Linked DNA regions of Mus musculus: regions 2, 3 and 4 are each reported to be linked to region 1. The links are microRNA targets in miRTarBase. Many come from high-throughput screens and were not tested one by one. Region 1 holds a microRNA gene; each other region holds the end of a gene's coding sequence.
Evidence for each region. The annotated mature microRNA mmu-miR-3473c reads UCUCUCCAGCCCCCAUAAUAAG and lies in region 1 at 3,417-3,438, opposite strand. An mRNA with a match to its seed (bases 2 to 7 or 8) in the 3' UTR can be bound and repressed. Matches are read on the target gene's strand: a 7mer-m8 pairs with bases 2 to 8, a 7mer-A1 pairs with bases 2 to 7 and ends in A, and an 8mer does both.

Region 1 (5,663 bases):
GAAGGGAGATGCCACACATACACACCACACATACACACACACACTATACACACACACACTATACACACACACACACTATACACACACACACACGTATATATACATATATATGTATATATATGTATGTATATACACATACATACAGACAGACATGAAATAGTGAACAAACCACAGAACCCCCCCCAGTCTGGCCTGTGGGCTAGAGACTGGACTCCTAGATTACTCTAAGTACATGGCCATCACTGCTCACCAGCAAAGGTACAGTGTATTTCTATGCTACATCTGCTTTTTCAACTTCCATCCTTTGGGACAAGTCCTGTGGCGTGGCTCTAGAATCTTCACTGATCACAGAAGAGATTAAGAGGATTGTTGGACTCACAGAGGCTAGTCAGGTAAGCAGTTTCTACTTAAAAGCAGTATTTTATTTTGTGTGGCTGGGTGCTTTGCCTGCATGCATGTCTGCAAACATGGATGCAGTACCCACAGAGGCCAGAAGAGGGCACCGAATCCCTTGGAATTTGAGTTACAGGTGGTTGTGAGCCTTCCGAGTGAGTGCTAGAAATTGAAATTGTGTCCTCTGAAAGAGCAGCCGGCAGTCTTGACTGCTGAATCATCTCTTGAGCCCCATGTTTTACTTTTAAGATTCATTTATGGTTGTCTATCTGTGAGCATCTATGTGAAGGTGTGTGCAGATGCCCACAGAGGCCAGAGAGAGGACATCAGATGTCGGAGCTGGAGTGCCACCTGACATGGGCACTGTGAACTGAATTCAGATTCTCTGGAAGAGCGGCAAGCACCCTTAGCCACTGAGCCATCTCTGCAGCCCAGGTTCTGTCTCTTACACAGGTTAAGCGCCATCTACAAGAGCATAGCCTCCCCTGTGCCTCTAACGTGACCCTTGTCCCAGGACACTTGTCCTTCCGTGCTTAGGAGCCAATGTTACATGAGCAGTGGAGGATGGCACGGATCCCATTTTCAGTCAGGGCAGGAGGGCAGATCAGTCTGAGGCTTACTGAGCTGAAGGGACAGACAGACCCAAAAGACCAGCGGGTCTCAACCTTCCCAAGGCTGTGACCCTTTAACGCAGCCCCTCATGTTGTGGTGACCCCTAACCATAAGATAATTTTTGTTGCTACTTCATAACTGTAATTCTGCTACTGTTATGAATGGTAATGCAAATATCTGTGATTTCTGATGGTCTCAGGCAACCCCCGAGAAAGGATCATTTGACCCCCAAAGGGGTCGTAACTCACAGGTTGAGAACCACTGCAAAGACAGATCTACAAGAACCCGGTCATTTCTGCTCTCAGAGCACTCAAAATGTTGACAGGAAACTCCGCAAGTTTCTACAAATGCTCATTTTTTGGTCAGCATATGAATTTAAAAGTTCTTCCAGAAGAACAGAAGGGTTCAGACAGCTGCTATCCATGGTGAACAGGTTCCCCTTTTGTCCTTTTCTCATATTTTTCTCTGTCATAACAAATTTGCTCATCCTCACACCCACTGCCATGCAAAGGTCACCTGGCTGAGTTGTGTGAACTGGTATAGTTGACAATTTTACCTAAGAAAATACTTCTCACCTGGTCAAACCTAATGAACTCTGAACTTTCGGTTCACTAAACATCCACTCCTTGGCACCCATTGTGTTAGTGGAGAAGGACGAAGAGCCGACCCATTTCCTAGCTGTTATACAACTTGGCAAACTGTGCTTACATGCAGCTAGTGGATCCTGTATAAAACACAAAAGGGCGATGCGATTTCCAAGCGGTTGGCATCTCCCTGAAGATCTGTGGTCCAAATGCAGCATATGTAGCTACACTGCCCACACTTGACTGGCACAGCCTGCCTGTCTCTTACAAGATGGCTGCTGCAGGCCTAGGCTCAGGTGTGGAAGCACTGAGTCAGCTGATAAATGACAACGAGTGTCAGTGGGAATTCTGCCCCTGTATCAGTCCCGTTGAGCACTGGACTCCCTGAAAACACTTCCCAGACTTCAGTGAGAGAGAGGAGCCCCAGGCCTTGTTGTCAAATTATTATAATTTTTTGGAAGATACAAAAATATAAATAACAGCAATATTTCAAGAGTTTAAAGTTTCAAACCAGGGAAGGATCCAAGATAAAAAGATGACACATCAGACATCGGAGGCAGGAAGACAAGAACAAGAGCCTGCTCAGTCCAGAGGGCTGCGCCCAAGGGACAGCCACACCTTTTCCTGTGCTGAGAAGTTTCCTTATCAGGTAACACTACAGATCCTCCAAGTCAGTTAAATCCACGGCCACTTTCAAGAACAGTGTGTCGTCTTTAATGTAGGTGTTCTTGGAGTTCTCCAGAGTAGAGTGCGACACAAAGCGGGGACAGCCAGAGGCAATGTTCATCTCGCCATCTGGCCTTTTGAAGCTGCTGCTGTTGGGGTCAGCTTTGAAGGTCTCCACAATATGGTTCTTCTTGCCGCTCTGGTCCAAAAGCATCAGGGTCACCCTCTGCCTGAACGGCCACTGCAGCAGCGAGTCAAACTCACCGCGCATCACCACAAAGTACAGGGACAGGTGCGTTCCCTTCCCCGACCCGTCCCCGTTCAGGTACGCCCTGGCACAGAGCCGGTAGCCGCAGCGGCTGGTGTAGAAAGGCTGGCTGAAGACGGACACTGTGTGCCCCTCCACGGCCTCCCTCTTCTTCACCCTGTAATCTGTCACCTTCCAGATGAGCTTGCCACTGTAGCAGGCGCCCTCCAGCTGCTTAAACCGCTCTTCGTTCTTATTCAGCTGTGCTTTGTGGATATTAATGTGTGCGTCGTGCTTGCTGGTCTCCCCCTCTAAAAGAACTGGAAGGAAACACAGGACAGGAGGCTGCAGCTCGGGCCTGTCATCTGAGCACTACCTGTGAACTACTACATGCATTGCTAACATTAACTCAATCGTGGTAAGCTGACGCCAAGCAGACATGGATGTATCCTCCCTCTTCACTCTCAGCTTGCCTGAGTATAAGACACATTGGACATTCACCTCGAGTGAATTCTCATGCTGAGCCTTGTGCCCGTCTAACTGTGTGTGTTTGTGTGTGTGTGCATGCATGCACACGAGTGTGCTTGTGATGTAAGTGTCTGTGCATACTTGCATGTGTTTGGCTGTGAGGTGCTTGTGGCATACAGAGGCCAGAGGTTGATACTGAGTGTCTTCCCCAGTAGTATTTCAGTCTTTTGATGTAGTTCTCTCACTGAATTAAACCCTGATATTCTGGCTAGCTTGTCCTGGAGATCCTGTGTCAGCCTCCAGAGTGCTAGGACCACAGGTAGCCCTCCAGTCCACTCAGCAATCACATGGCTACAAGGATCCAAATTCTAGGTCATGTGTGCAGCAAGTGTGTTATCTACTGAGCCATCTCCCCAACTCCTATAATGAATTTTACATTTAAAAGACTTATTATGGGGGCTGGAGAGATGGCTCAGCAGTTAAGAGCACTGACTGCTCTTCTAGAGGCCCTGAGTTCAAATCCCAGGAACCACATGGTGGCTCACAACCATCTGTAATCAGATCTGATTCCCTCTTCTGGTGTGTCTGAAGAGAGCAACAGTGTACTCACATACATAAAACAAATAAATAAATATCTTTATAAAGTCTTATTATTATTGTTATTGTTGTTACTGTTGGTGGTGCGTGCGTGCGTGCGTGCGTGCGTGCGTGCGTGTGTGTGTGTGTGTGTGTGTGTGTGTAAGTGAAGGCATGTACACCATAGTATACATGTGAAGGTCATAGAACAACTTTCAATAGTTGGTTCTTTCTCTCCACTGTGTGGGTTCCAGAGATCAAACTCTGGGTGTTATAGTTTCAATGAGTTGTGTGTCCTAAGTCCTAAGCATTGGAATACTTGGTCCCCAGTTGGTGGGTTGTTTGGGGAGGATTAGGAGGTGTGGTCTTATTGGAGGAGGTGTGGTCTTGTTGGAGGTGTGGTCTTGTTGGAGGAGGTGTGGTCTTGCTGGAGGAGGTGTGGTCTTGTTGGAGGAGGTGTGGTCTTGTTGGAGGAAGTGTGGTCTAGTTGGAGGAGGTGTGGTCTTGTTGGAGGAGGTGTGTCACTGGGCTTGGGGTTTCAGCAGCTGCTCCAGTGCCATGCCTGCCTGCCTGCTGTTTCTCTATGAGATGGTGGTAAATTCTTATTTCTCTGCAATCATAAGCCCAAATAACACTTCCTCCTACAAGTTACCTTGGTCATGGTGCTTTGTCACAGCAACAGAGAAGCCACTGATACACTGGTCATCTCGATTGCATAGCAAATCACCTGCTAAGCAATCTCACTGGCCCCAGTGCACCAAAGCCTAAGACACCCATCACCTCTCTCCCTTGTTCTTAATGATTACCACTCCCAGCTCTTGGGACTGCCTGGGCCATTTCAGTCTCGTCTGACTCCACACACATGGTGGAGACCCTCATTTTCTGAGGCAGCTAGAATCTCATGCTGCTTCACAAACAGGATTCAGCCACTGGGCAACCCAGAAAGCTGGTTGTGACTTGTTAGCTTCTACCACAAATGCACACAGACAGGGAAGCCATGAGAGGGAACCCGACTGCTTCATACACACACACACACACACACACACACACACACACACACACGTACCTAATCTCTGGTCACTGGCTTCCAGCTGGGTGATCCTCTGTTTCACGCTGTCAACCGCATCCACCAAAGACCTCAGATCAAGTCGACTTGGCTGCTGGTTAACTATTTGTAGCAGCTGCCGCACCTGCGCTTCCAGCCAAGCTGACTTGTCCGTGTGACTGGTGAGAGCCTTGCGGTACAAAAAAGAGAATATGTCTTGGAAACGAGACATCGGATTTGTAGCGTGTTGACTGAATTTTAACACAAACATTTCACATAGAATGATCCACTCATGAAATGGAAGTGGCAGTGTCCAGAGAGGGGGTTCAGTGGACATGGCAGAGTCAGCAGCTGCCATCTTCTTCTTCCTTTCCAGGCTGGACTCCTCTGGTGAATTTCTGAGCTTTCCCCGATGTGTCTAAAGTCTCCCCTCCATGTATTCACATGCACTTTGTGGCCCTCTTGCCTTAGCCTTGCTTCCCTCAGAAGAAAGTTTCCTTTCTGTAAGGAGGTCAAGATTGGGCAGGAGCAGGCAGAGCCTACACACTCTATGGATCTTTCACATGGAGGATATTAATCTGTCTGCCTTGCCCATATAGTCTTAATTCCACCCTATTGCTCTCTGTTTAGGAAAATGTCAGAACTAATAGTGTGATAGGTTCCTTTTTTTTTCCTAGACATACTAACACATACATATACATATGTGCACACACATCTGCACATACGTGCCCAGCACATGTAGAACAGGTGCATACATGTATGTATATATGTATATGCTGTGGTGAAGAAGAATAAAGCTTCTATGGCCTAGATTTCCTGGAACAATACACATTTCAAACACATTGCCCATGTTATATGTCTTTAAATCACTACAAATCTGGTCATGAGAGAACTTTTATTTGTTAGGGGTCCATTTGTGGTTAGTTAACATTCAGGATTCATCGAGTGATGTTTAAGGCATGCCCTTCCCAAAGGGAATTAATGATTTTACACACATACCATGGAAGTATGGTATAAACGTTGCATTTACCAGCATGGGTATAGATATACTCATGTACGAGACAGTGTTACT
Region 2 (5,663 bases), not on the chromosome of region 1:
GATTATGCCTCAAATGCAATCTCTGGGGATGCTTACAAATTCCCAGCCTATATAAAAGATGGTTTGGGGTTTTGTTTGGTTTGGGTTGGGTTTTTTTGTTTGTTTTGTTTTGTTTTGTTTTGTTTTGGTGATTTTTTGTTTCTTTGGTTGGTTGGTTTTGGTTTTGTTTTTTTGTTTGTTTTTAGTTTTGGTTTCTGGTTTTGTGTTCGTAGTGACTCTACCTGGTCCTATCAGAGTATACCCTATATTTTCTATGAATTCACCATCATGAGGGAGAGTTAAATTGCTCCGGGCACCATATATCCTTGCTGAACCCTGAGTCTCAGGTCGGAATCCATCCCTCTTTTCAGGTTACTCCTGACTTACCTTTCAATGGTGCTGTTCCCACTCCAACCTTTCTTCTGATCTTGGTTTCACTTCTGCCTACTGTAAGGTCTGTACAATTATATATTGCTTAAAGACAAGGATATGTTCTGAGAAGCATATATTCAGTAATGTTTTTGTCGTTGAGAAAACACTGGAGAATGTGCTACACAACCCAAGAAGCCATTGGCGTCTGTAAGAGAATACTGTGGGTCTATTGTCACATAAGTGGTGAGATATATGTAGGGCTGGCCAAAATGTCATTATGAAACTCATAAGAGCTTCAAACTGACTGTAAGGTCCTTTTTCACTCTGTTCTGATTTCTCATTCTCTTGAGCTGTTTCTTACCTCACCTGCCCCTAATGTCTGGAAGACACTCAAATTCCTTAGGAAAAAAACAAGATTCAAAGCAGGTCTTGGTTTCAGGGCTGCCTTATGTTCATGAACAATAGGGCTGTAAGACTGGGGGCTGGCCACAGGGCGGCGCTGTGACTCCACAGGTGAACTAGACTATGTAGGTCCAAAAACTAGGGTCAACCAGAGACACCAAATGTCCTCCCCCAAGTTCCTGCAAAACACCTCTTCACCTGCCTTAGATTCTGGAGCAGAAACACCTATAGTTGTATGCACATACATGTACACTTAAATGAAATGTGAAAATCACTCTGCTAACAGTACTACTTTCGTAGGCAGATACCAAGCAAAGATTCCTCTTCCCTTCCATAATACACAACAGCAGCTCTACCAGTAAAGGCTGGTTGAGGTCTTAGGGCTTCACTTTTTCCTTACGTTGGGCTAAATGACCCCAGTGATTACATGCTTTGCATTCTTTCCCTGTGGCATTTCAGCAATCTTTTTTGTCTGACCCAACACCCATCCAGCAGCTAACTCTAACCCACTAACGCCCTCTTCTGACACTGGCCTACAACATGGAAATAGGCTTAGGGGTAAGGCTGCAGCTCAGTAGTAGAGCACTGGCCTAGCACGCACAAGGTCCTGGGTCCAATCCCCAGCACAAGAAAGAAAAGCCTCAGCAACAAGGACACAGTGGCTCACTACCGTGTTGGAATGTGAGCACTTGATGTCAAGGGGCCCAGTTTCCCACTCACTGCCATTGAAGAAATGCGACAGTTGGGATTTCCATAAAGCAAGCTTTAATGATCGCAAACAATATTCTATCTACATAATTCATAAAGTGCTTTCTCCTTCATATTTGTGTGTGTGTGTGTGTGTGTGCGCGCGCGCATGCGCATGTTCACAGTGTACTCCTGAGTGTTTATGTCTGTACACCTACGTGTGAAGGCAGAGGTGGACTTTGGGTTGATTCCTCCATCACTCTACGCCTAATTTTTTGAGACTGGGTGTCATCCAGCCCAACCCTCTAAATCAAACAGCCACCGTTGTCACTCCTGCTTGTAAAAGATCAGCACGCCTGGGCGTGTTGGCACGTAGGCAGGAAGCAGGGTCACAGGACCCTCACCTGAGAACTCAGCCCTTTGTGCCAAATTCCATGAGGCCTGGGAGTCCTGGGGAGGGAGCAGTCTACAGTCTACAGCCCAGGGAACACTAGACGAGAGCTCCACCTGAGCCGCAAACGGGGAGTCACCACCTAGGCTGGGTACAGACCTTCCAGGGTACCTGCCTTAAAGTTACCCATAATCTCTATGAAAGCTTAGTGAACTCGGTGGCCCCCCAGGGTGAACTCTGATAGAGCTGAGCTTTGCTTTGTTATTGGGGCGTCATGAGGAGACATACAGTGCTTAGCCCCACACCCTCAGGAAGAATGTTCTCTCAATACTAGGTCCCAACTGAAAATGGTGTCCACTGATGGGCTAGGCTAGCCCACTAGTGAGCCCCTGGGGTCCTCCTGTCTCTGCCTCCCAGCCATGGGATTATACGTGCACAGTCAAACCCAGATTTTTTTTTTTCAGTGTATGCTAGGGATCAGAACACAGGTCGTCATGGTGGCACAAGGACTGTACATGCTGAGCCATCTCCCCAGCCCCCTCCTTTTGCCTCGAGAGTCCAAGAAGGAACCTGCGACAGCTACAAGACATCTGAATCCCCATGGTTGTTACTCATAATTGCTTAACGGCCTCTTACAGAACCATCATTTTGCTCCCAGATCCCCTGGAATCCATCAGTGAGTAAAATCCTAAAAAGAAGTCCCTTTGACTGTGACCTTCTTGAATCACAAATAGGATGAACTTATAAGCAGCAGTGCCCTGTGGTACGTAGCACTCTGTGTCCGAGTTTACTCTCTTGCTGAATGATCCATCTAAAATGTACTCTAGGTAACGCAAAGGTGACATGGAGGCTCACAACCATCCTTAAAGAGATCTGATGCCCTCTTCTGGCAGGTATGAAGACAGTTACAATGTACTTACATATAATAAATAAATATATTGTAGCCGTCTTCAGACTCCAGAAGAGGGCATCAGATTCCATCACCATGTGGTTGCTGGGACCTGAACTCAGGACGGCTGGAAGAGCAGCCAGTGCTCTTAACCGCTGAGCCATCTCTCCAGCCCCTCAGTCGGTTTTCTTAAAGGACATGATATTGATGACATCTCTACAACAGCTCCTCTTTCCCAAGCTTAAAAATGCTATTAATAAAAAGAATGACACCACTTTCTTGGCTCCCGTGGTCACACTCTGTGCAGCTTTTATACCCCACAAGCCATCCCAGGTGCTTTCAGAGGAACAAGGAAAGGCAAGCAAGGGGCAGGGTACAGGCGCATTCAGACCCGGATTAACAATGCTGTTCAGTTTCCTCTATAGTTTATTGTCACAGCAGAAGTTGTGTGAGACAGGAGGTCACGCTCTACACGTCACAGTATGGTCAGAGCCTGAGGTAGCTCTTCCCACCCTGATGCCAAGCCCCAAGCAGTCGGACCTAAGCTCTTTCCCTTAGTCCCACTTTAGGTGCACGCTGACAGCTATCCAAGTTAGTGTGGCCAAAGGACCCGGGCCCCTCCCTTCTACCCCAGCTTCAATGTGTTTACCACTGTTCTTCACGGGCCACCATCTCCCATCCTTTCTTTTTACATGCTGGATATTTCTATCACATTAAGGATCACTGACCCACCAGCAAACCTTCTCCTGATAAACATTCATTTGGGACTATTGCCTTCAGAGAGGCCTGACACATCAAGGCAAAGCCACTGTCAGCTTTGGGGAAGGAGCTCCCCATCTCTCACCATCAACCCTACACACACACACACACACACACAACACACACACACTCTCTCTCCTACCCTTGCAAATATGGGCTAAAGAGGGGGAGTGATGGAGGCCCCGTGTCAGCTAGAACAGCTCATTGTTCCTCATCTATAGAACCTAGGTCAGGGAGAGAACATACAAGCCTTCTCAACACCAAAATGGAAGAGGGGGTAATTTAGGGGGCCCAGATCTCTAAGAGATATTAGGACACCTCACCTAGGAGCTAGAGGATATCACAGGTTAAAGGTCAAGGTTAGGGTAGCAATTAAAGATCAAGGTCATCTCCCTGCACAATCTGCCCATTTTCCTTGCTTACTCTGGCCCAGTGCCCTGATAACACCTCTTAAATTAGTGTTGCAGGAGGTGAGGGCTGGGATCCACACCAAGGCAATGAGGGTCATTCAACAGGAGACTTCCATGGTGTGCCCTGGGGGTCCAGAAGGGAGAGTCCCAGACTCGCTACTCTGCGACAGGGTGCGGGATCGGGACCGACTGCCATCGATGGATGCTGCACTGGTCAGAGATGCTGTGCGAGACCGAGATAGGCGAGTCATGCAGGAAGAGGCCACTGTAGACACACAATGATAAGCAAGCCATCAGAGATGAGTGGGGAAGACAGCTGGTAACTTCTAGTGGGGCCTAGGTGAAGACAAGAGCTGCGGCCAGAGAATCAGCGAGCTTGCCTTGTAAGATGATGAGTCCAAGAATTAGCCTAAAACAGGTCTACCCTCACAGTGGGAAGCCCTTCCTAATACCCTCTGTCCCAATACTCACTGTAGCCCATGCCTTGCAGGAAGTACTTGAAAGCCTCTGTCAGCTTGCCGGGCTGTGGGCATATTACAAGGAAAGAGAAGAGAGAGAAAGAGATGGTTAGATATCTTGAAAGTCACAGCAATGGCAAAGGGCACAACACGTCCCATTTCCTCGTCCCAAGATGGGCACTATACTCACCTGAGTCAGCTGTGGCTGACCTCCAGAGTCGGCCATCTGCTCAGGAAGGAAACACCCAGGGAAGAAGGATACATGGAGATATCAGACGATCCATGCCGCGGGAAAGGGGCTCTCTCCTCCCAGGTCCCTCACTCAGCCCCTTTGTTCTCCTCTCCCTTGACCCACAATGAACCCACAGGGCTTAGACACTGGAATTTAGAGTATGTATGCTCCTGGACTGGGGAGCGGGGAGCAAGTGAGGCTTAGGAGGCCCGCTAACCTTGAGGAACGAGGTCTGTGTGGGGTCCAGCTTTGAGTTACATTCCACCTGGAATAGGTAGGAGACTGAATGAATCAGGTCGCCCTCTCCACAGCCCTCCAAGGGACCCCGATCTTTTCCCTTTCGTCAGCCCCTACCCAATTACATCTTAACCCAAGTCAAATTCCTAAGGTCCTAGAGTTGCTCCTCCTGCCCCAGAGTTTTCGAGTTTGCAGCTTGGCAAGGTCCACAGCTTGGGTGAACCCAGTGTTGACAAGACCCCAACATTCCCTCACTACCCCAAAAGCCACCACTGACCACGGCATCTTCATGAGGTGCTTGGTCTCCAACCACCAGCATCACAGGGCACCTAGGGGCACGGGGTCAGGGAGAAGACAGTGAGCCTTGTACTCTCTCACCGACACTTCCCAGAAAAGCAGCTAAACAAGTGTCTGCCTCCGAGGAGGAGGAGGAACCAGTTGCCTTTCTCCTGCTGACTCAGCAGGAGGATCGAGAGGGAAGCCCCAAAGGAAGACAGCTTGTTACACAGAATGGAATCAGGGAGACTGGTAACTTCTCCACAAAGGTTAAGAGATGTTGGTACCAAGGGGCAGGGCAGAGACAGGACAAAGCCACATGCATCTACCAATGTCTTACTTGAGGGTCGTCTCACCACCTCGCTCAAAGTTCAGGTCTCGGCGGCTGCAGGGGGTTCAAAGAGAAGTTGTTTTTGACAGGCACTGCTGTCTACCTAGATAAGCTACCTCCTCCACAGGAAGCTATCTCCCTTATTTATAGTCAGCAGCTACTGGTGATTAAGAGAAAAATACCAAGGGCTGGGGTTACAACTTGGTGGTGGACTACCTGCTTAGTGAGCAGCTATGAGGT
Region 3 (5,663 bases), not on the chromosome of region 1:
TTGCGCTTGCGCCCAGGGAGCCTAAGCCAAGGCGTGAGTGCCGTGGGAGCTCTAGACATTTCCTGATTAAAATTATTCTATATTAGAGCCTAGATTGGAGCCTGGCTTCAATCTCAGCACGAGGAAGGGCAAGGGAGGTGGGTCTCTTTTGAATTCCAAGCTAGGGCTATGTAGTGAGACCTTATCTCAAAAGCAAAACCAAAGTGTTGGATGTTGGGTATCTCCACTCCAGTTCTCTATCAGCTTGGACCAGCAGCCAAGGTCAGAGAGGAGAGGCAGAGGGGAGGGGGAGAGAGGGAGGCTGAGGGAGTCCATGGTTCAGCATCAAACACATTTATTTCACTTTTATTGATTATACAAGAACAGAGAGCACACGCATACAGCACGGAGCACTGAGGTGGGGAAGCGTGGGGACGAGAGAGGAGAGAGGGGACTGGGAGAAAAGGAACAGGACAGCATTGCAGGTGGCTGCTAAGGTGCTTTTGAAAAAAAAATAGATATCTAGAGTGATGTTGCTCATGCAATTTCAGGCCAGTCTTGGTATGTGCTTGCAGGATTCAGAAACTGAAACAGCTCCTGGCACTTCCTCTGCCCTCGTGTGGAAAAGATTCACAGAAAGCAAACGTGGGGAAAACAAAGGCGCATGAGACACAGAATGGGAAAGAGGCTCAGGGTGTAATGCTTGCCCTGTCCTTTGAGTTATGTGAAATGGGACAGCCCAGTGTCACACGGTGAGTTAGGAGCTGCATTGAGATGCTCACCTGGAACCCTGACTGCTCTAGGTGGCTTTTCTCACTGTTACCTGGCCCCCTGGAGAGCGAGGTGCCACAGAGATGATGAGACAGACACACAAAAAAAGCAAAAGGAAAAAGTAGGCTGAAGTCAGACAACACAACGTCCTTATTCTCTATGAAGTGGAGGAGGGGGAGGAGACGGTGCCCTAGATTTTAGCTGTGCAGGTCTCCTCCTCCCTGGGCGGGGTACTGACTGCCTCTCTGGGAGAAAAAAAAATAGTAAGAACCGGTCAGAACATCCATGGAGTAAGTATCTCCCCAAACCCTAATGTCCCACGAGCTAAGCTGGGTCATTTCGTCCTTGCCCTGTAGCCCACATTCAGAGCAGGTACAATGAGGCTCCCTCTGAGGTATGTATGTCTTGTGTGTTCAGGCCGGGGAGTTCCTGCAAAAGTAGGTGAGGCCCGAGCCTGATTCCAAGGTGATAGAGCCGTTCCTGCTCCGGGCTCAGAGAAGCAGTGGGAGCTTGCATGCCGTGAGGAGCAGGAGGGAGGTTCTGTGGCTTCTCCATCAAGAATGGCCAAAGATCCTGGAGCAGAGACAATGTGCTGCCCCACTGGAGCAGGGCAGGCCTACCAGCCTGCACCGGGGGCATATGGCTGGCTCTGTTATCTAAGAGCTTGGCTCGTCTCAGCTGCCACAGAGACAGAAGCTCTCCTAGCTTCTTGCCCTGTGTCAGGCCAGCACCTGTGAGTAGGGAAGGTGTACATCACAAGAGTAACCAAGAAGCAAGCCAAGAGAACACATCCAGCCGGGGCTCTCCCGGAGACATTTCACGGGACTGTCTCATCAGGTGGAGGGCGTGAAGAAGGGTACTGAAAAGAGCCAGCTATGGATAGGGACAGACAGGCTTGTCCAGTGGCTTCCCAGGTCCCTCCCTCTCCTTCTGCCTTGAAAACAGAGCCTGACACAAGCAGGAAACTGGTAAACATCTGTTGACTAAATGTATGAAGTGCCTTAGCAGGACAGGAAGTGAGATGGGACTGCCGTGGGATACTTTCACTCAGAAAGGGAGAGACATTGAGAGCAAGCCAGAGGAAGCCTGTATGTGCCAGGCCGAAATAGCAGCCTGTGGCAGCGTTTTCTCCAAGGGCTCCTGTCACCTCAAGGCCATTTCTGAGCTTAGATACTGACTGATGGAGGTCCTGCAAGCCAGGGTCTGATGCAGATGGAGCCGGATGGCAACACTTCCTCAAGCCTGCTCTAGTTTAGGGATGGCTGAGGCTTTTGGAAATGCAGCATGGGCCTATTGTGGCCTTCCCTGTGCTCATGGCCTCTTTATCGTGGCTACTTTAGCTCAGGAAGAAGAGGATGATTCACAAGACAGACAGAGGCAGAGGGGAAAGGCTGGCTGGGCATTTCAGAAAACCAGGTTAGAGTCGCTGTTCTCCACCTTAGCTAGGACCCCACCTCCCTTTAAAGAACTCATTGTGATGAGGTGCTGAGGAGCAGAGCAAGACATGGCCGAGCACAAACCCAAACAAAGACCCTGGTAATAGGAAACAGAGAGAGAGAGAGAGAGAGAGAGGACCGAAAACCAAGGCGAGCCCCCTGGAGGTAGGAGGACTGACCTACAGAACCTCAGCAGTAGTGTCCTGAGCACAGACCAGGCCCTGGCAGCTACTGCTGGGGAAGAAGGCATTTTGGCCTGGCATATTCGGGATGACATCTGTGTTGCTCCCTTCTGGCCGGAACCCTCACCTCTTCACGGAGGGCTTCTCCACTCTCCCCACCAATCACCCAGTTACAAACACCACACACAGTTTCACTACACTGAATCTGTCAGCCCTACTGGGAGCTGGCCACACCCAGAGTCCAGTGTTCTCAGCTGGGCCAGTTTGGCAAGATCTAGGAACCTTAGGATACATCAATCACAGTCAGGTAATTATAACTTGGAAATGTCAGCTGCATACTTACCAGCACAGTTTATTTTAATATTTGTTTCCTGTTACATGTAATATACATAACTTAAAATCACAGTCATATAATCTCCTACAAGCTGCACCTCCGTCATGAGAAACCGGAAGCACACAGTGTCTACTTCCCTTCCCATGGCTTCTGTTTGCTCTTGTAGTTTCTTTTTCTTCCAATGAGAGTTACCTGCAGTGGCCCTCAGCAGGACCAGGACACAGAACAGGAGGGTTGGGAGAGAGGCAGAGGGGAGCTGAGACAGAATATGAAGACAGGATGAGTAGAGGTCAAGGGTGAAGCGGGGAGGCAGAAGAACAGAGAAGGGATTTTGCAGCCCAGTGTCAAGACCCAGAAAGGAACAACTGAGCGTTCCTCCTCCTCCTCCTCCTCCTCCTCCTCCTCCTCCTCCTCCTCCTCCTCCTCCTCCTCTCCATGGGGGAGACTTCCATTCTTTCTTGGCAAATAGCCAACCGTGCGTGTCTTGCTGCTGTGACTTCTCTTCCTTGGCTCCGTGATCTAATTTCTTTCTTCCTTTGCATTAGAGGGAGCAACAGAGGCTGGAGAACAAACGGGGTGCTCGTCCATCCTGGAGTCTGTGCAGCTGGGGTTCAAGGGAATGTCTACAATCATGGCGGTCTGCTTTTTTAGTTTGCAGGAGAAGGGGTTTGGGGAGTGAGAGATTATGATTGTTATACATTTTCCTGAAAAAAAATTCCCACCAATTCGATTTGTCTGCAAAGGAAATGAAGGTTGTTGCAGATGTTGGTCGTGGCCATCAGCTGACTGCTCCGCCAGCCCCAGCAGCGGTGCAAGGACGCGGTGTTTCCTGTATATATATCTATATCTCTATATATCTATATATATATGCTTTCCCTTCCCAGTCTCTCTTCAGTGACAGTACGTCGCAGCTGGGATGTTGGTATTGTCGGAGAATCCAGAGTGAAGGCCCCTTCTTAATGGCTCTCTGGCTTGGGTTGGACCAGACACGCCAGCATCTCTTCACAGAGGTCAGGATTCCTGGATGCCAGAGGGTGGGAAATTAGTTACTTTACCCATTCGCCTTTAAACACACAGCAGCAGTTTTAGCTACCTTTTACCTGCATTGTGGCTCAGAGAGAAAGAGAGTGATCTATCCAAGGCTATACAACTTACTTGGGAATGACTCAAACGCACCTAACTCCAGCGTCGTGTGCACACATGTGTGTGCATGTGCGGAGGTGACGTCTTTTGCTTTGTTCTGACAACCTTTTAAACAGTCCTTTACTGTGGAGATGCTATGGTCCCCATCAGTTTGCTTTTCTCCCTTGTTCCTCTCAGTTCTCTGCCTGCTTCACCCTGGCTGCGGGTCTTCTGGCTTCCTTTGCTTTTCCTATCTATTCCCCATGGGCATGCTGTGGTCAGGACTAAAGGGCAGTGCTCAAACAAACCAAAACCAAAACCAAAACCAAAACCACAGAGCCTGGATTGTGACTAACACTTAGTCATCTATAGGAGTAAGGACTCTGCAGTCACATTTCCTACCCCTGGCTGTCTGTTCCATCACTGTGGGCAAGTGTGTCGACTCTCTAAGCCTCCATCAACCTCCCTATAAAATGGGACCTACCTTACACAGACAGAGACAGCACGGAGAGGGCCTAGTGTATAGGAATGCTGAATAAATGCCTTGCTGATACACTTGCTCACTGTAGCCCTTGCCCTGACTCCCAATAGCAAGAGCTACCATTTACTCACCTTGCTAATTCAGTGGCAGCTACTCAAGACATTATGTACATGGAACTGCATTCCTGACTCTTGTCACATGGAACTGCATTCCTGACTCTTGTCACTCGCATAGGCTCGGGCGGGTACAATCCAAGTGTCATACAAGAGTCCTTCTTGGCTCATTTGACTGAGGAAACCTTATGCCCAGAGGGTTCTATGGCTTAGCAAGGTGGTGGCAGAATGTAGGTGGGAGTCCAAGGTTACTGTTCTCAAACAGGCCAATCTCTCCCCTCCCAGACAGGTGAGCGAGAGGAGGGGAGGATGCTTTTGGCAGCCAGGTGAGTGCTGTCCTCTTGCTGGCTGCCTTTGGGAGACAGATCGTCTCTGAAGGGGGTGGGTCTGGAGGATCTAAACAATACTGTAGATAGCAACTCATTCTTCTCAGTTGAGGGTCAGCAGTTGCTAGCCCACCATGACAGATGGTAGTGCCTGGCCTACTGTTAGGGACCGCGTACTGTGCGTCAGGCACTATGGTAGTTACCATGCATGAATAATCTCTGTGAGACAGACAGCATGGGAAGTCAGCGTGGTGAGGAACACAGGGGACTCTGGAGTCTAACACTTTAATCAGCTCCCAGCACTGTAGCTGTGGGCATGCCAGTTAAGGCCTCTGAGCAACCAGCTACTCTTGTGGGGCCTTTGAGGTGGGCGCTGAGTATAATGTGTGAGCTGGATACAGTGCGCAGATGCAAGGGCAATAAGGGTCTGACTTTGGGGAGTGGTGCTGAGGAGAGGACCGGTCTCACCCATGCTAAGCATCTGCTCCATTGGTACCCAGCACTGAAAACCTTTCATCTGCATGCATCCTCATGTAGCCCGCCCAGAGGGAAACACTTCCCAGAAGGTTGTCTTGTCGTTCTTCACTGCCACATTCCAGAGTAACAATATTCTGCTTTTACTCCCAATGGGAGACAAATTTTGATGGCTATTCACTGCCAGTGAATGCAATCACACAGAAGGTAAGTAGGCATTGCCATGTCTGAGATTTTTGTTTTCCAAGTCTGATAAAATTTAGCAAACTTCCAGAGAGGTGGAAGAACCCCCTTCGCAGTGTAAACTGTGAGGATGCCTGACACCCACCCACCCACCCACCCACACACACACACACACACACACACACACACACTGCATTATCTGAGACCTTGAAGGCCTTCAATGATGCTGGGTCCCTGGGAGTCCGGCCCTGGAGGACCTGAG
Region 4 (5,663 bases), not on the chromosome of region 1:
CTCGAAAAAACAAAACCAAAAAAAAAAAAAGTGTCATTCAATGAGGCTGGAAAATACTCACATGGGAGGGATCTTAAGAGCACAGAAAACTATGAAACTCTTCAGATTTCATGTGGTTGATGGTTACACAAATAGCTTAGCTAAAAGAAATGCAGATTTCTGAGCTAATCCTACACATCAGGGGCTTTGGTAGCACTCTCAAACTAAAGCAAGCCTTTAATCCCAGTACTCAGAACCCATAGGCAGGTGGCTCTCTGTTATTTTATTGCTAGCCTGGTCTACCTAGTGAGCTCCAGTATAGCTGGAGCTACATAGATATCCTGCCTCAAAGCAAGGAAACAACTAAAGCAAGGTTGGGAGTTCAGGACCCTCCTGAGACACATTAGCTCCTGCCTCAGAAACCTTGCCTGTATCTGTATATGAATGTCCAGCCTTCATAAATGTAGGTGCACCCCATGTATGCCTGGTGCCCATGGAGGTGGGAAGAGAGCATCAGATCCTTGGAATTGAATTTACATACAGTTGTGGGCCACCATGTAGGTGCTAGGAACCAAACCCGGGTCCTCTGCAAGAGCAATTAGTGCTATTGATGTCTCCAGCCACTCAAAAAAAAAAAAAGTTTTAAAGACAAAATATATTTCTAGATAAAATAACATAAATACAAAATTTAAAGTTTTCATTATTTTTTTAAAGGTTAAAAAATATTGCTGTGAGGCCAGCCTGGTCTACAAAGTGAGTTCCAGGACAGCCAGGGCTATACAGAGAAACCCTGTCTCGAAAAACCAAAAAAAAAAAAAATATATATATATATATATATATGTATATATATATATATATATATATATATATATATATATATAATTTTGCTGGGTAGCATATCCAGTTGGATTTCTATGAGTTTGAGGCTAGCCTGATCTGCAGAGCATGTTTCTAGGCTAGCCAAGGCTATATAGAGAGAGCTTATCTCACATCAAACAAACAAATAGTTTTGTTTTTTGTTTTTTAACATGTGTGGCTGTGTACATGTGTGAGCAGGGGTACAGACACAAAAAGACAGCATCAGGTTCCTTGGAACTAGAGTTACAAACCATTGTGATCTGCCAGGTATGGGTGCTGGGAACCAGGGTTAGATCTTCTGGAAAGGCCAGATATGAGAGTGCATACTTTTTATCCTGACACCAAAGAGTCAAAAGTGGGAGGATCAGGTGTTCAAGAGTTCAAGACTGTCTTTGGTGATCTAGTGACTATAAGTGTTCTCTCTCCCTCCAGATAGATAGATAGATAGATAGATAGATAGATAGATAGATAGATAGATAGATAGATAGATAGATAGATAGATAGATAGATAGATAGATGTGAATGGATGACAGCAGGCAGGGCATTATTTTTAGAAGTGAAATCTTGGGCTGGTGAGATGGCTCAGTGGGTAAGAGCACCCGACTGCTCTTCCAAAGGTCCGGAGTTCAAATCCCAGCAACCACATGGTGGCTCACAACCATCCATAACAAGATCTGATGCCCTCTTCTGGTGCGTCTGAAGACAGCTACAGTGTACTTACATATAATAAATAAATAAATAAATCTTTAAAAAAAAAATAAAATAAAAAGAAGTGAAATCTTGGCTGATATAAGGTATACAGATATATTTGGAAAGGTCTAGGTAGACGAGTCATTTATTGAAAGAGAGCTGCTGGATGGGTGATATGACTCAGTGGGTGAGAGCCCTTGCTGCCAGACCTGATGCCCTGAGCCCATGCCTTGGAACCCACATGGTAGAAGGAGAGATCCGGCTCCCCAGAGTCGTCCTCTGACTTTCATGTGCATACATACACACATAGACAAAATTAATAAGGAAAAGGAGTGAGCTGTGAGGCCTTCATCTGACAGGCGGAGCTCTGAGATAGAGCAGGACTGAACTGGTTGTCTCCTGGTCTGAAGCTGCAGTCCCTACTCATGGGGCTCAGAGGAACACAGCCCAAACCTGGAACTTCCTGCGTAAGTCCTTTCCATTGCTCTCCCTACCCTGCTCCTTCTCTTCTTCACAGTAGCATTCTTGTCCCTTAGGTTGGCTGTTGTCCAGTGTGTTGCTATTGTCTGGAACTCCTACCTATCCTGGAAGGCACATCAGTTCTAAGCGTGCCTTGTTCCATGGTTTGCACCTTGTACTGATGCACCGTGACCCTGGAATGCTTGGACAGCTTCTTCAAACTAACCACATCAGGACTGGAGCGGTGACTCAGCTGTTAGAAGCACGGATTATCTGCTCTACAGAGGACCTAAATTTGGTTCCAAGCACCCACATCGGGTGGCTCACAACTCCCTATGTCTCAAGCTCCAGGAGATCTGATGTTCTCTTCTGGCCTCTGAAGCACCTGCACAAACATGTATATACCCACGAATAGACACGCATTTGTAATTAAGCACACAATGAAATCTTTAAAAGGAAGGAGTGTGTCAGCTTCCATGCTATGGGGTTGCTGATCAGAATAGGGTGACCACTCTGAAGTGGCACATTTCACTTTAACCACTAAGACATTTATAATATTGCTGTCACTCTGGCCCTTAGCTGATGGGGACACACTATAAGAATTGTGTCCTGGGGGCTGGAGAGATGGCTCAGCCTGTAAGAGCACTGACTGCTCTTCAGAAGCTCCTGAGTTCAAATCCCAGCAACCACATGGTGGCTCACAACCATCTGTAAAGAGATCTGACGCCCTCTTCTGGAGTGTCTGAAGACAGCTACAGTGTACTCATATTTAATTAATTAATTAATAATTAATTAATTAATATAGAATTGTGTCCTGGAAGCCAGGCATGGTGGTACATGCCTTCAATCCCAGCACTTGGGAGGCAGAGGCAGGCAGATTTCTGAGTTCAAGGTCAGCCTAGTCTACAGAGTGAGTTCCAGGACAGCCAGGGCTATACAGAGAAACCCTGTGTCAGGAAAAAAAACAAAAAAACAAAACCAAAAAAAAAAAAATGAAAGTCTGTGTCAGTCTCAACCTAGTGACAATCCTGCCTCAGCTTCTCAGCTTCTCAAATGCTGGATTAGAGAATTGTGTCTTGGGCTACAGATATCGCTCAGTGATTAAGAGCACTGACTGCTCTTCCAGAGGTCCTGAGTTCAAGTCCCAGCAATCACATGGTGGCTCACAACCATCTGTAATGGGGTCTGATGCCCTCTTCTGGTGTGTCTGAAGACAGCTACAGTGTACTCATATACATTAAATAAATAAATCTTTTTTTAAAATCAAACAAGAATTGTGTCTTTAGCAGTTTTGTCACTGTGCACACATAAGGAGTATACTTATGCAGATGGTAACAATCAGTTGCTCAACATGGCCTCTTCGTGCACAAGCATGTGGTGTATTTTTCTGCTGCCAGTCTGACATGGTATACTGTTTTACAGAGAGCTTTTTCATATGTAGAACACTGTCATTAAGATGTATACGCTGTACATAATTGCACAAGATATACTTCCATATTACTGCCAGCTTGGTCTGTTTCCACCAGCATTATTGCAGATTCATGAATAATGCACCAAACTGAGACATAAGAACTAATGCTGCTATGTGGTAGGGATATTTCAGCTCCGCTATGATTATCTGAAGCCACCATTGTGTGTTGCCATCACTGACTAAAAGGTTGCTATGCAGCATGACTGTCTACATTCCCACCACATAGTATATTCCTCACAGATATTTGTAGAATAATATGACCTTGCCAACTTTACACCTATGTCCCAATAGCTAGCACACGTCCCCACTCTGTATAGATACAACTTCCTGTCTAGAGTTGAGACTTGAACTCAGCATTGTGGATGCTAGTCACGTGCTCTAACAACTAAGCAACATCCCTAGACTAGAGTGGCTATCACGCTTAACTTTTCTAGGTCCTAGTGCCTTTCGAGACCCTGTCAGGGACTTTATAGGCACAGAAATAGATACATTATTATCTGGGATCTGCAGTGGCTATGAATAAGACCCTTCAGAAGAGCACAGACCTGTCTGTAACTGGAAAGAAGCAGAGGCTGTTCATTTACAAAGACAGACGCCAATGGTTTCAGAAGTGAGGGACCTGACTACACAAGCTGGTGGCAGAGGAGGAACTTGGGCCAAAGTTTTCTCACTTCTACCTAGTGATTTCTTCGTTTTCGTGTGTGTGTTTGTGTGTGTGTGTGTGTGTGTGTGTGTGTGTGTGTGTGTGTGTGTGTGTGTTCAAAACTGGGTTTCTTTGTGTAGTCTTGGAACCAGCTCAGTAGACCAGTCTGGCCTCAAACTCAGAGATCTGCCTGCCTCTGTCTCCTGGGTGCTATGATTAAAGGAGTGCACCAGCACCACCCCAGCTCCTGACCTAGAAGGTAAAAAGGTATAATAGTACTGTTTCTGTGTTTCCTAGGAAAAAGCTGACTTTGCCAAACTCAGGAGGTACGTTAAGTTCTGAAAGCCAAACACCCTTTTATGCCATTCTGACACCTGTAGATTTTAGTTTGTACTGCTGTACAATGGTCAGTAGAATGGGTCAGACCCACTGTATTGGAGAGCCTTTGGGTGGGACTGTGTTGTCTGAGCCCCTGCCAGCAGAGCATTTCTGATCTCAATTTGAGGACCCAGTAGCCGGCCTAGGGACCGTGTCTAAGCAGCCCAGGCTTCTCCCCAGAACTTCTGTCCAGATTGTGGCTGTGAAGAAGTTCGGAACCACGGACAGCTCCACAGTCCTCCCTCTCTACTTGAGAAGAGAAACAACCCCTGACTATTCCTGCTCTGGAGACATTGGTGGTTCTGTGTCGGGGAAGGACTCTGCATCCGGAAGATCTATCTTTATGGCTCTGCCAGCTTCTCCCTCTACAGCCAGGGTGCTTCCAAAGATAGCTCCAGGGACACAAAGTCAGGATACGCACCCCTCTGGGGGCTCGAAGCTGCTGGACTCAAAGCTGCCGGTGTCATTGTTTCTACAATCAGTTCATGTTCTTCGCTGACGTCAGTCGGAGCTGTCCTGGTGCTATATAAGGCTGGCGGCGGTCCCGGGACAGACCCCGTGCTCCCCAAGGCGTCTTCAGCCCGTCCCCGGGGACAGAGTGGAGCTCCATCTTGCACTGGGCAGACACTCCGATAACCTGTGAGTGGCTTGAAGCAACGATCCAGACTCCCTTACCACCAAGACTCTGCACTCAGCCCACCCACTGTGACCTGCCGGGAGGGAAGGAGGGAGAGAGGGGTGGAACTGGACTGGCACAGCGCCTAGGGCTGGTGGGCAGGATGTGGACACCAGGCAACAGCTGGAGGGTCTCGGCAGGGGCACTGGGCGTGCGCGCCAAGGGGCTCGTGTTACCTGCGGCTGCTCCAAGTGCACCTCACCCTATGCTGCCCCTGTGTGTCCAGGGCAGGCGGCACCATGATACAGAGGGGACGCGCTACGCTCCTGGTGGCGTTGCTGCTCTTGGCACAGCTTCGCCCGGAGAGCAGCCAGTGGAGCCCAGCGGCTGCGGCGGCAACTGGGGTCCAGGATCCGAATCTGCGATGGAGCCCTGGAGTGCGGAATCAGGGCGGCGGCGTCCGCGCGCTCCTCTTGCTGTTAGCGGAGCGCTTCCCGCGCCGCGCAGGATCTGAGCCTGCGGGCGAGCGGCAGCGACGGGACGACCCTCCACTGTCCATCGACCTCACC

Region 2: the mRNA of Ndrg2 is a reported target of mmu-miR-3473c. Seed matches in the 3' UTR shown: 7mer-A1 at 3,612-3,618.
Region 3: miRTarBase lists Epb41l1 as a target of mmu-miR-3473c. Seed matches in the 3' UTR shown: 7mer-m8 at 3,132-3,138.
Region 4: the mRNA of Mpv17 is a reported target of mmu-miR-3473c. Seed matches in the 3' UTR shown: 8mer at 2,604-2,611.

What each region holds. Positions count from the first base shown.
Region 1 is chr1:191,995,186-192,000,848 of GRCm38, forward strand. Mir3473c (microRNA 3473c) reads right to left here and starts at 3,449; the gene lies at 3,369-3,449. Traf5 (TNF receptor-associated factor 5) reads right to left here. Exons shown (of 14, transcript NM_011633.2): 13 at 4,613-4,783; 14 at 2,018-2,822. The coding sequence ends at 2,245.
Region 2 is chr14:51,902,153-51,907,815 of GRCm38, forward strand. Ndrg2 (N-myc downstream regulated gene 2) reads right to left here. Exons shown (of 15, transcript NM_001145959.1): 10 at 5,433-5,477; 11 at 5,094-5,145; 12 at 4,797-4,844; 13 at 4,538-4,573; 14 at 4,361-4,412; 15 at 3,119-4,154. The coding sequence ends at 3,988. Among named protein-coding and RNA genes, the nearest start is that of Ndrg2, 8.5 kb to the right of the region's middle.
Region 3 is chr2:156,537,869-156,543,531 of GRCm38, reverse strand. It overlaps Epb41l1 (erythrocyte membrane protein band 4.1 like 1), which reads right to left. Exons shown (of 25, transcript NM_001368800.1): 25 at 320-3,722. The coding sequence ends at 3,714. Among named protein-coding and RNA genes, the nearest start is that of Aar2, 6.9 kb to the left of the region's middle.
Region 4 is chr5:31,138,251-31,143,913 of GRCm38, reverse strand. It overlaps Mpv17 (MpV17 mitochondrial inner membrane protein), which reads left to right. Exons shown (of 8, transcript NM_008622.6): 8 at 2,064-3,251. The coding sequence ends at 2,133. It overlaps Ucn (urocortin), which reads left to right and starts at 5,019. Exons shown (of 2, transcript NM_021290.2): 1 at 5,019-5,117; 2 at 5,381-5,663. The coding sequence starts at 5,394.